Callithrix jacchus: one gene and its partner. The protein of the gene in region 1 purifies or fractionates together with the protein of each later gene. This does not show direct contact. Links are inferred from orthologs where the notes say so. Each region holds a gene or a part of one and is shown in the gene's direction. Other genes may lie near its edges.

Evidence for each region.
Region 2: the proteins of SLC7A11 (region 1) and CD44 purify together in Homo sapiens (affinity purification with western blotting; 3 studies listed by BioGRID and IntAct, with this or other methods). This does not show direct contact. The link is inferred for Callithrix jacchus from reciprocal best matches to the Homo sapiens genes SLC7A11 and CD44.

The regions. Positions count from the first base shown.
Region 1 is NC_133504.1:58,856,156-58,860,650, forward strand, and holds part of SLC7A11 (cystine/glutamate transporter), read left to right. Parts: intron 1-591; coding exon 592-688; intron 689-2,215; coding exon 2,216-2,365; intron 2,366-3,617; coding exon 3,618-3,795; intron 3,796-4,495. UniProt on the Homo sapiens protein: Heterodimer with SLC3A2, that functions as an antiporter by mediating the exchange of extracellular anionic L-cystine and intracellular L-glutamate across the cellular plasma membrane.
Region 2 is NC_133511.1:100,549,418-100,553,912, forward strand, and holds part of CD44 (CD44 antigen), read left to right. Parts: intron 1-1,703; coding exon 1,704-1,832; intron 1,833-2,965; coding exon of another isoform or gene 2,966-3,021; exon of another isoform or gene 3,022-3,264; intron 3,265-3,295; coding exon 3,296-3,424; intron 3,425-4,495. UniProt on the Homo sapiens protein: Cell-surface receptor that plays a role in cell-cell interactions, cell adhesion and migration, helping them to sense and respond to changes in the tissue microenvironment.

The DNA.
Region 1 (4,495 bases):
GGCTTTTTTAAAAATAGTGTTTCCACAGAGTCTAATAACGGCATTTTATTTCTGGTAATATAATTTTCTGTTTCTCTGAAGATGCCAGCAAAAAAGTAAAGTAAGAGACATCAGAAATCACCACCCCACCATCTGTATTTCTTTTGTTTAGTTTGATGTAAAAGTCTTTATGTTTTAATGTAAGATCAAAACCCAGTCAGATAAATGCGAATGCTGCCTGTGCATGTGTGCCTGTGGATGTGCATATGCGTGTGTTTGTTGAATTGGAATCACGACACACATATAACACTATGACTCTAGAACTAAATTCCCCATCAGCTGTTTATATGTAGGGAGAGCTATGCCCAGTCAGATATTGCTATTCCTTCTCTTCAAAGAATAATAAAATGTTGGCAGATTTTGTAAAATTCAAATTTAGATTTCCTATGATGTTTCTCCACCTTATTTGAAAAGTGAAACTTAGGCAGTCACCTAAGAAATGCCGAACAACTTGGTATGAAAACGATGCAAGTTTTCTCTGGGATTTCTGGATTTTTCCCTTTGAAATGATCAATCATGCAGTCAACTCCAACCACATTTCTCTCCCATCAGGTTATTCTATGTTGCGTCTCGAGAGGGTCACCTTCCAGAAATTCTCTCCATGATTCATGTCCACAAGCACACTCCTCTGCCAGCTGTTATTGTTTTGGTAATGCATATTAACAAGTATATATAGATATAACCTTGAATAATAGGTTAGCAAAAACGAATTCCAAACAGACATTAGATAGTACTTCACTTCTCATTCATTGCTAATGCATGTTGTGGTGGAGTTTGGGAGGCAGGGTATCTTCCATCCCTTTTCTTTACTCCATGTTTCTGATGACTGTTTGATGCTTTGGGGCAAAAATCACATCACCTCTCTTTCACCTTTGCAGAAATGTGTAAGGTCTAAGGAAAATGACTAGCTTGGCTCCTCTCATAGATGTAGCACCTCACAGAAAATGATGTAGAGTATTAAATCCCAATTGCTTAAGGAAAGTGGAACAAAAAGCTACAGTCTAAAAAGTACCCAGAGGTATGATCTAGGCACCTTATAATGAAAAGCACACAAAATTACTGAAAGCATGGATAAAATCCTAGACAGTGCCATGATGCTATGATCTAAAGTGAGACATCTGAGAGCGAATGTCTTTTACCATTTGCTCTCAAATGTCTCACTTTTAATCACAGCATCATGATGAAATAAAAGCACCAGAATGTAAATTTGAGTTGCAAAATTCTTTATGCAGAGAAAAGTGTTTGTGAATGTGAGCTACAAAAGACTGTATAAGGTGTAAAAGTCCTCAAATACCCATTAGCAATGTTATATTCATTTCTACTGATGATTTTGTAACATTTCTCTCAACTGGAATCTGTTGTCAGGAGCACCATAGAATGCCCTGAACATTTTTTTTCATGCATTTAATTTGTTTCAGAATGTTTCCTTGAAATTTCTTTTTAAAGTATGCGTACTCTCTGTGCAGAATCTGGACGTTAACATCACTTGTGGGAACAGAATGTATTATTCCGTGAAGAGGGCTTTCGTTTTAAGCCTCTGCTCTCAGTCATGCTGTCCTTGGCATGTGCAGCTGCAGAGATTGCTAAGCTGATCTCTGCGCTTCATTCTTCTCCGTGGTCTTGAGGGTCACACACGGCAAGCACATGGGGAGAGTACATGTGGAGGAAAAAAGGCCAAGTTTTGCCAAGAGCCAACAGAATCACCTATGAGTGTCTGTGCTTCCTGTGTGTGGATAGCCAAGCGCTCATCAGAGAGCATTTACAGAGCTTTCTGCAAATCGTCCAGTTGGGTCTCTTTTACTGTTTATTATTGATTATTTACTAATCATCCCAATCTTTGAGACTTTCAATTTTGAGTCATCAAATACCCTTTCTTTTACTCTTTGAAAACATATGATCTTCTCTCAAATGCAAAAGGAACCAACATTCATATAGAATTCCACTAGAATAAAGTGTAATGGCGATGTCACTCTCATAACGTTACTGGTGTGTAAATGGATTATGACAGCAGAATATAGAAAATAGATGAGTCAAATCCAGGTTTTAACCATAATGATGGTTTATCAGTATACATAATCATTTAGAAAGATCATAATGCATAGCGAGGTTATTGTCATTTATCATCTGTGTTTTCATTGAATTCACCAAGCTTGGCCTTTCTCCCTTTCCCCCTCAGCACCCTTTGACAATGATAATGCTCTTCTCTGGAGACCTCGACAGTCTTTTGAATTTCCTCAGTTTTGCCAGGTGGCTTTTTATTGGGCTGGCAGTTGCTGGGCTGATTTATCTTCGATACAAATGCCCAGATATGCATCGTCCTTTCAAGGTAACCTCAGCAATCTTGATGGGTTTACATAAATCTTTCACCTAATACCTAGTCCTCCGATTGTCATAACTTGATGATGGGGAGGTTGGGCTGGGGGCAGCAGCCTACGGAGTCAAAATGTTTAACTCTTTCAGGCAGTGCTTTCCTACTGGATTTATTTTAAGTTGGGAAAAGTATAGTTCATCAAAATTTTTATGTGATGTGCTGAACTTGGTCTTTCACATTTTTGAAAAATGACGGTATGAATAAATGTTTGGCATGTTGGGTTTTCATGAATGTGTTCAATGACCTGATAGAGTCAAAGTATGGGCGACTTCTGTCTGTCTTTATGCTGGGGTTGTAGACAGCCTTGCTGACAAGGAGTAAGGAAGACACTTCATTAATGCCAATTCCAAAAAGGTGGCTGCTGTACAAAACAGGCATTTTGAGTACTTAATGCTGTGACTTGTTACAATGCTCTTTCTCTATATTACATACTCTAAAAGGAATAGGAATGTAAAGTATACAGGGAAAGAGAAGACCTATAAATTTACCACCTAATGCCCATTTACCATGAGTAAGCATTTCCGTTTTGGAGACCGGAGAAGATGCTTGTCATCTCCTTCAGACTTGAACGCTCATGGATCCATTTGACCTCACTATTTATTTGCTTTTAGGAAATAGCATAAATAATGATGTCAGTCATGTTGTCAGGAGTTGTTTCTAATAATATTCATTGCCTAATGCTGGCAGCATCTTTATTAGCGGTTGAATAGGAGTTGGCCTGTTTTATTCCTGTCAGTTCTTATTGTGAATCTCAACAGAAAATCAATATGCACTGAAAGACTTTCACATGTAACAAGCAGCCAGTCCTCTTGACTCCACATTAAAGTGAGTTCTAATCATAATTATCAATGAGCCAATCTTTTTCAATCAAAATCACAAATCGTCATGGTGTTTAACTAGTAAAATAATTCCAACAGAACATCTCTAATAAAAATATCCTTTCTTATCCTTAGATTTTGTTCTATCCAAATATTTAAAAAAAATTTAAATTAAGTTGAGTTACATTTAAAGGAGTATGTTTGATACATTATCTGTGTACCATGAAAGAGATTTTGCTACTAAGGTGAGGCACGTTGGTGCCTGTCACCTGGTCACATGACTACAGCTTATCACTGAAGTGTGTCTCATGACTGACACGCTCATCTCAGACCCAGCTTCTGTGGCTTGAACATGTTTGAAGTGGCTTTTTCTGTGTTCTGTGTTCCAGATCCCGCTGTTCATCCCAGCTTTGTTTTCCTTCACGTGCCTCTTCATGGTTGCCCTTTCCCTCTATTCGGACCCATTTAGCACAGGCATTGGCTTCGTCATCACTCTGACCGGGGTGCCTGCATATTATCTCTTTATTATATGGGACAAGAAACCCAGGTGGTTTAGGATAATGTCAGGTAAGAATTTTCAATACTTTCAGGACCTTGTGCAAGACCATGTAGAAAACCCACAAAGGTGTACATACATAATATACTTGACATTTCAAAATATAAGTGGCACAACTGATGATTTGAGAACACTATTGCATTTTAATTGGAACTGCTTTTTGGCAGGTAAGACATTTAAGGTATCACTGTTGAATCTTTTAAGGATATCATTTGGGCTTCTGTAATCACTTCTTAGGAGAAATAGCTTTGTTTTAGATGAAATTTTATCAGTAGTTCTCTAAACGACTTAATCTCTCTTTGAATCCCTTACTAACTCAATTATTTTTCTTCTGAGTTGAATACAGTTTGGTGATTCTATATCATAACATGTAACCTGATGAGTGACATGAGATTTATTGGGGAGTTAGGCAGTGGCCGCAAATGTCTTAATTGTTGTGACTGTACACTACCTGGAAAGGAAGGGTGACTCATGAAGGATCGTAATAAAAAGAACAATGAAGAGAACAATAGCAGCATCCACATATGTGTGCACATGTCTGACTTTAATTTTTTTTTTAAATGTTTTACTTTAGTTTCTGGAATACATGTGCAGAACATGCAGGTTTGTTACATAGGCATACATGTGGTATGGTGGGAGTGTAAATTAGTTCAACCATTGTGGAAAACAGTGTGGCGATTCCTCAAGGATCTGGAACAGAAATACCATTTG
Region 2 (4,495 bases), on another chromosome or scaffold:
CTGATTGGTAACTTCTGGGCTTTAACAAATTAACATCACAACTTCTAGAAGAAAGTCAACCTTCATCTTGTAGGATAGAAATCATATGTTCTGCTAACCCATTCCGATTTAAGCTGAAAATAATAAAGGGTTACAGGTACTTAAAAAATCAGTATGTTTATAAAAGTAGTGATAGAAGGACTATAGAGTCCTTCTGTACAGTCACACACATACACTTCCTTATTTCTTTTATTTAAACTTTGAGTAACACGGCAGTATATATTTGGGTCAATTTTCCTTTTCTGGTAATTACATTCAGTGGTTTTTCCAACTTCATTCTTGTTGGGAATTAGTGATTTAGCCAGTGGGAGGTAAAACTTAAAGATTTCGGCTTTTCTTCCCCTCCCCCTGGATAACCAGTTACCCAAGAATGGCTTGGCCAATGTAAAGGTAAATGAGGATGGTATGCTTTATTTTTTAAATGTCATTGCTGTCACCAAATTACACATATCATTTTCTAAGATAATGAAAAACAGCCATTTTTACAAGTTGCAAAAAAATACTCTGACTTGGCAAGTTTACAGGCTCTCATTTTCTTGATCAACTAAAAACAATTTGCTGTAAGTTGTGTAGACAAAAATGTTGGTGTCTGACTTTTCCTGAAGGCACCTCTATGAAACTTTATTCTGTTGATTTTGTCCTTTTTAAAGCCATGGTTGAAATTGTAAGCCTGTCACACACTATTATTTGTATAATGCCTCAGACTAGCTTGGATAGTTTTTGTTAACTGAATTAATTTTGTTAAAAAGTGATTTTAGTAATTTTGGATGCCGTGTGGACATTACTATACAATGTGTTAGTGGAATAGCATCCAAGCCATCCCATCACCTTTCCTGCTGGGCAAATCCACTGCTGGTGCCTTTCCATTGTGTGTGATTATGGGTTACAGGACCACCATCTGAGAAGGTCTCCTAATGCACTGATCTTGTCATTAGTTGTTGTACAGTATTTCCTTTCCTCAAAATGACTGGAGCAAAGAGGTTATTCTTTGAATGGTTTTCTCAGACAGGGTATGTGATGCCATATACTATAATAAAATAAAAATAATAACTCATGGAACTATGAGAATTCATCAACTGTGGTCTGCTTAGTACTTTGATTTTGAACAAATCAAAACCTCTTTGGACCACAATTTTGACATCTGAAAAATTAAACGTTTGGATCATTTGATTTCTAATATCCCCTTTAGAATATCAGTGGCCTGTTTCTTTGTTGCCTTTCTTTTCTACCTTCTAGCTCCATGTGTATCTGCCCTTAAAGTAGAAAGATACAGCTGGGCGCGGTGGCTCAAGCCTGTAATCCCAGCACTTTGGGAGGCCGAGGCGGGTGGATCACGAGGTCATGAGATTGAGACCATCCTGGTCAACATGGTGAAACCCCGTCTCTACTAAAGATACAAAAAAAAAATTAGCTGGGCGTGGTGGCATGTGCCTGTAATCCCAGCTACTCGGGAGGCTGAGGCAGGAGAATTGCCTGAACCCAGGAGGCGGAGGTTGCAGTGAGCCGAGATCGCGCCATTGCACTCCAGCCTGGGTAACAAGAGCGAAACTCCGTCTCTACAAAAAAAAAAAAAAAAAAAAAAAAAGTAGAAAGATACGTGACAGCTATTGGCAAGGAAAATAGAAATAGACAATTTTGTCTCCCAACTGATATTCTTCTCATAGTCCAGGCAACTCCTGGTAGTACAAATGAAGAAACAGCTACCCAGAAGGAACAGTGGTTTGGCAACAGATGGCATGAGGGATATCTCCACACGCCCAGAGAAGACTCCCATTCAACAACAGGGACAGCTGGTAATGGATGGTTTAACAAGTAAATTTCGATGGCAACTTCCTTTTGGGTTAAATGGTAGACATTGAAGACATCGAACAAAAGGACACTGGAGGAATTGTCACAAGATGTTAGGTTCCTTCATAAATTATCTTGCAGTTAACACAGAGCCAAATCTTAAAGGGTCATAACAAGTTACCCAAACAGGAATAAATACAAGCCATTAGGAATAGGAACGGGAAGCACAGAGAATATGCCCTTAAGAATGTCTCTTTCACATCGAGTTTTGGGCTTCCTCTAGTGAGATTGTAGCAGAGGCCATTATAAAATACCCCCTTTTGTCATGCAAAGGAATATATTCTATAATGTGGGTCCAGAGTTACAATGTGATTTCTCACAAAGTATTTTCTTGTGATATAGCATTTTGTCAAAACTTTGAAGAAACAGAGCCAGACATTATGTGAAAAATGACACCTGTCTGATGTCATTTGGCTTTTTGGTCATGCCTGTTTGTAATTTGTTTTTTCAGTATTAAAAAGGCATCTTCTCTATTCTTGAATTGTAAGATTGTGGAAATTGGAATCAAGTCTTATCATCATCTCTAAGTGATGCCAGATAACTTGGCTCTGCAAGCACCCATGCAGAATTCTTTTGTCTGTGTGACATAGTATTGAAATCTGTCCTGCCTTATAGAGAAGGTGAATTCCATATTCTCAGTTCAGTGAGAAATAGTCCCATGTTTTTCTTTGCAATATAGAAGGTGATGCAGCATGTCCTTCTGGGGCATGGCAAGTTCTGAATGAATTCCTGGCAGATCAATGGATTCTTTGACTGTCTATGTGGTGTGGTTGTTGCTAAGAGGATGCTATTGTAATCTTTTCTACCTATACTTCTTCACTGGCTCAGAATGAAGCCAGGCATTTGCTGCTGTCTTACGTGTCATTTATGCCATAAGTCCCATTGTTAGAAGGTAATGCTTCTAATGGATTCCATTCATGCTTTTGAGATAAACGGCATTGACTTTCATGTTGATCACATGGAAAGCTGTTACTTGATTTCTTTCCTGAGATCACTTCCAGCCTAAGGTGCATTCGGCTGGAATATGGCTGTCTCAGTATGACATCATGCACTTGGGCTCTTATACTTCTGCTCTCAGGGGACTGTGGCAGCATGGCATGGGTCCAGAACTACTTCTCCTTCATCTTCCTTTGATGTCTGTAACTCATCCTCTCTGCGCTGCAGGAGTTGTTAATGCTTTTGTGTCCTCCAGTTCACATGCTGATTGCTAAGAAGAAAATGAGCATGAGTGAACTCGAACCTGCTGAAGCATTCTGCATTTATGCAACTTCCTTGCCCTCTATACAAGGAAGATGGTTGCACTGTCTTGTTAAGAGAATCAAGTCTTTTTTAAAAATAAAATCAATGTACCCCTGACCAAGCGTCCATTAACACTTTGACAATTGCTTGAACTGCATGATCACAACAGCCTCAGCCCACACCAGCCATTCAACCCAAGGAACAACGACATCAAGCCCAGAGGACAGTTCCTGGACTGATTTCTTCGACCCAGTCTCACATCCCATGGGACGAGGTCATCAAGCAGGAAGAAGGATGGGTAATAGCCTCTGAAATTTTTATATATTATGTTTTTTTGAAATCCACTGAGTGACTGTTGACTATTTTTCTGGAAATAAGCCCTTGGTTTTAGACCAGTCTTCTTTCCTGAAGGACTTGAGGTTCTTCAAAAATTTGTTTTCTTGGTAGGAGTGATATGCATATTCATCTGGTATGAACACTTGAGCTGAAGGTAAGGAATTTGTCAGGACAGTTGGCAAAAAAGACATTTATTGTCAAGATATATCTGGGTGAGGCAGTAAGTAATAGATGTGAAATGAATGTTACTAATAATGAATGCTAAAGAAATTCTGAGAACCCCTCCTCACCTACCATAGCATCACAGAAAGGTGAACTGGACCTGATTTATAAAAAATTAAAAAAAACTGGATAGTCAGAGAAAGGAAGTGGGTGGAGGGGTGGGGGAATTTTTCTAAGAAGGAGACTCATGTAAGGAGAAACATGAAGGGAGAAAAGCCAAGGAATGAATATTTCAAGTGAGTGGATCCATTTGTCACAAAGGAAGATATGTTTGAATGGCTAGGCCCAGCACACATGAGTTTGCACATGGCAGCTGAAGCTCTGAGGACACCCATGGGGGAAAACCAAGCCAGGCAAAGATCTTCGGAATCAATATTAAGTCTCTGTACTGATGAAGAGAAAGAGATTCCATTAAATAGATGAAGATGTCAAGGACAATACAATTGGCTTCAACTACACAATGGTGTGGTACCTCTTGAAGGACTCTACTGATAAGAGGGAAGATGAACAAGAGTCTAGAGCCCATCATCAAGTGGGACTTCTTCTGGGAGAATGTCCATTTGTGGCTTTGATTCAGGTTAGCCCTTGCTCTTGTTTGAAATCTGGGATAGGAGAGTCACCACATTTTTGTCCTACAAAGATCTTAAATATTTTAGTGTTGAAAGGCTGCAGTGCAGACATGAGTACCCAGTATTCTGGTGCTTTGCTGGAACTGATTAGCTCTTTCCAGAGGCAGTGATGTGGATGGATTTTGACTGAATTGGAGAGCCAGGAATATTGATGGGGTTTGGCCTCTGTGTCACTCAAGACC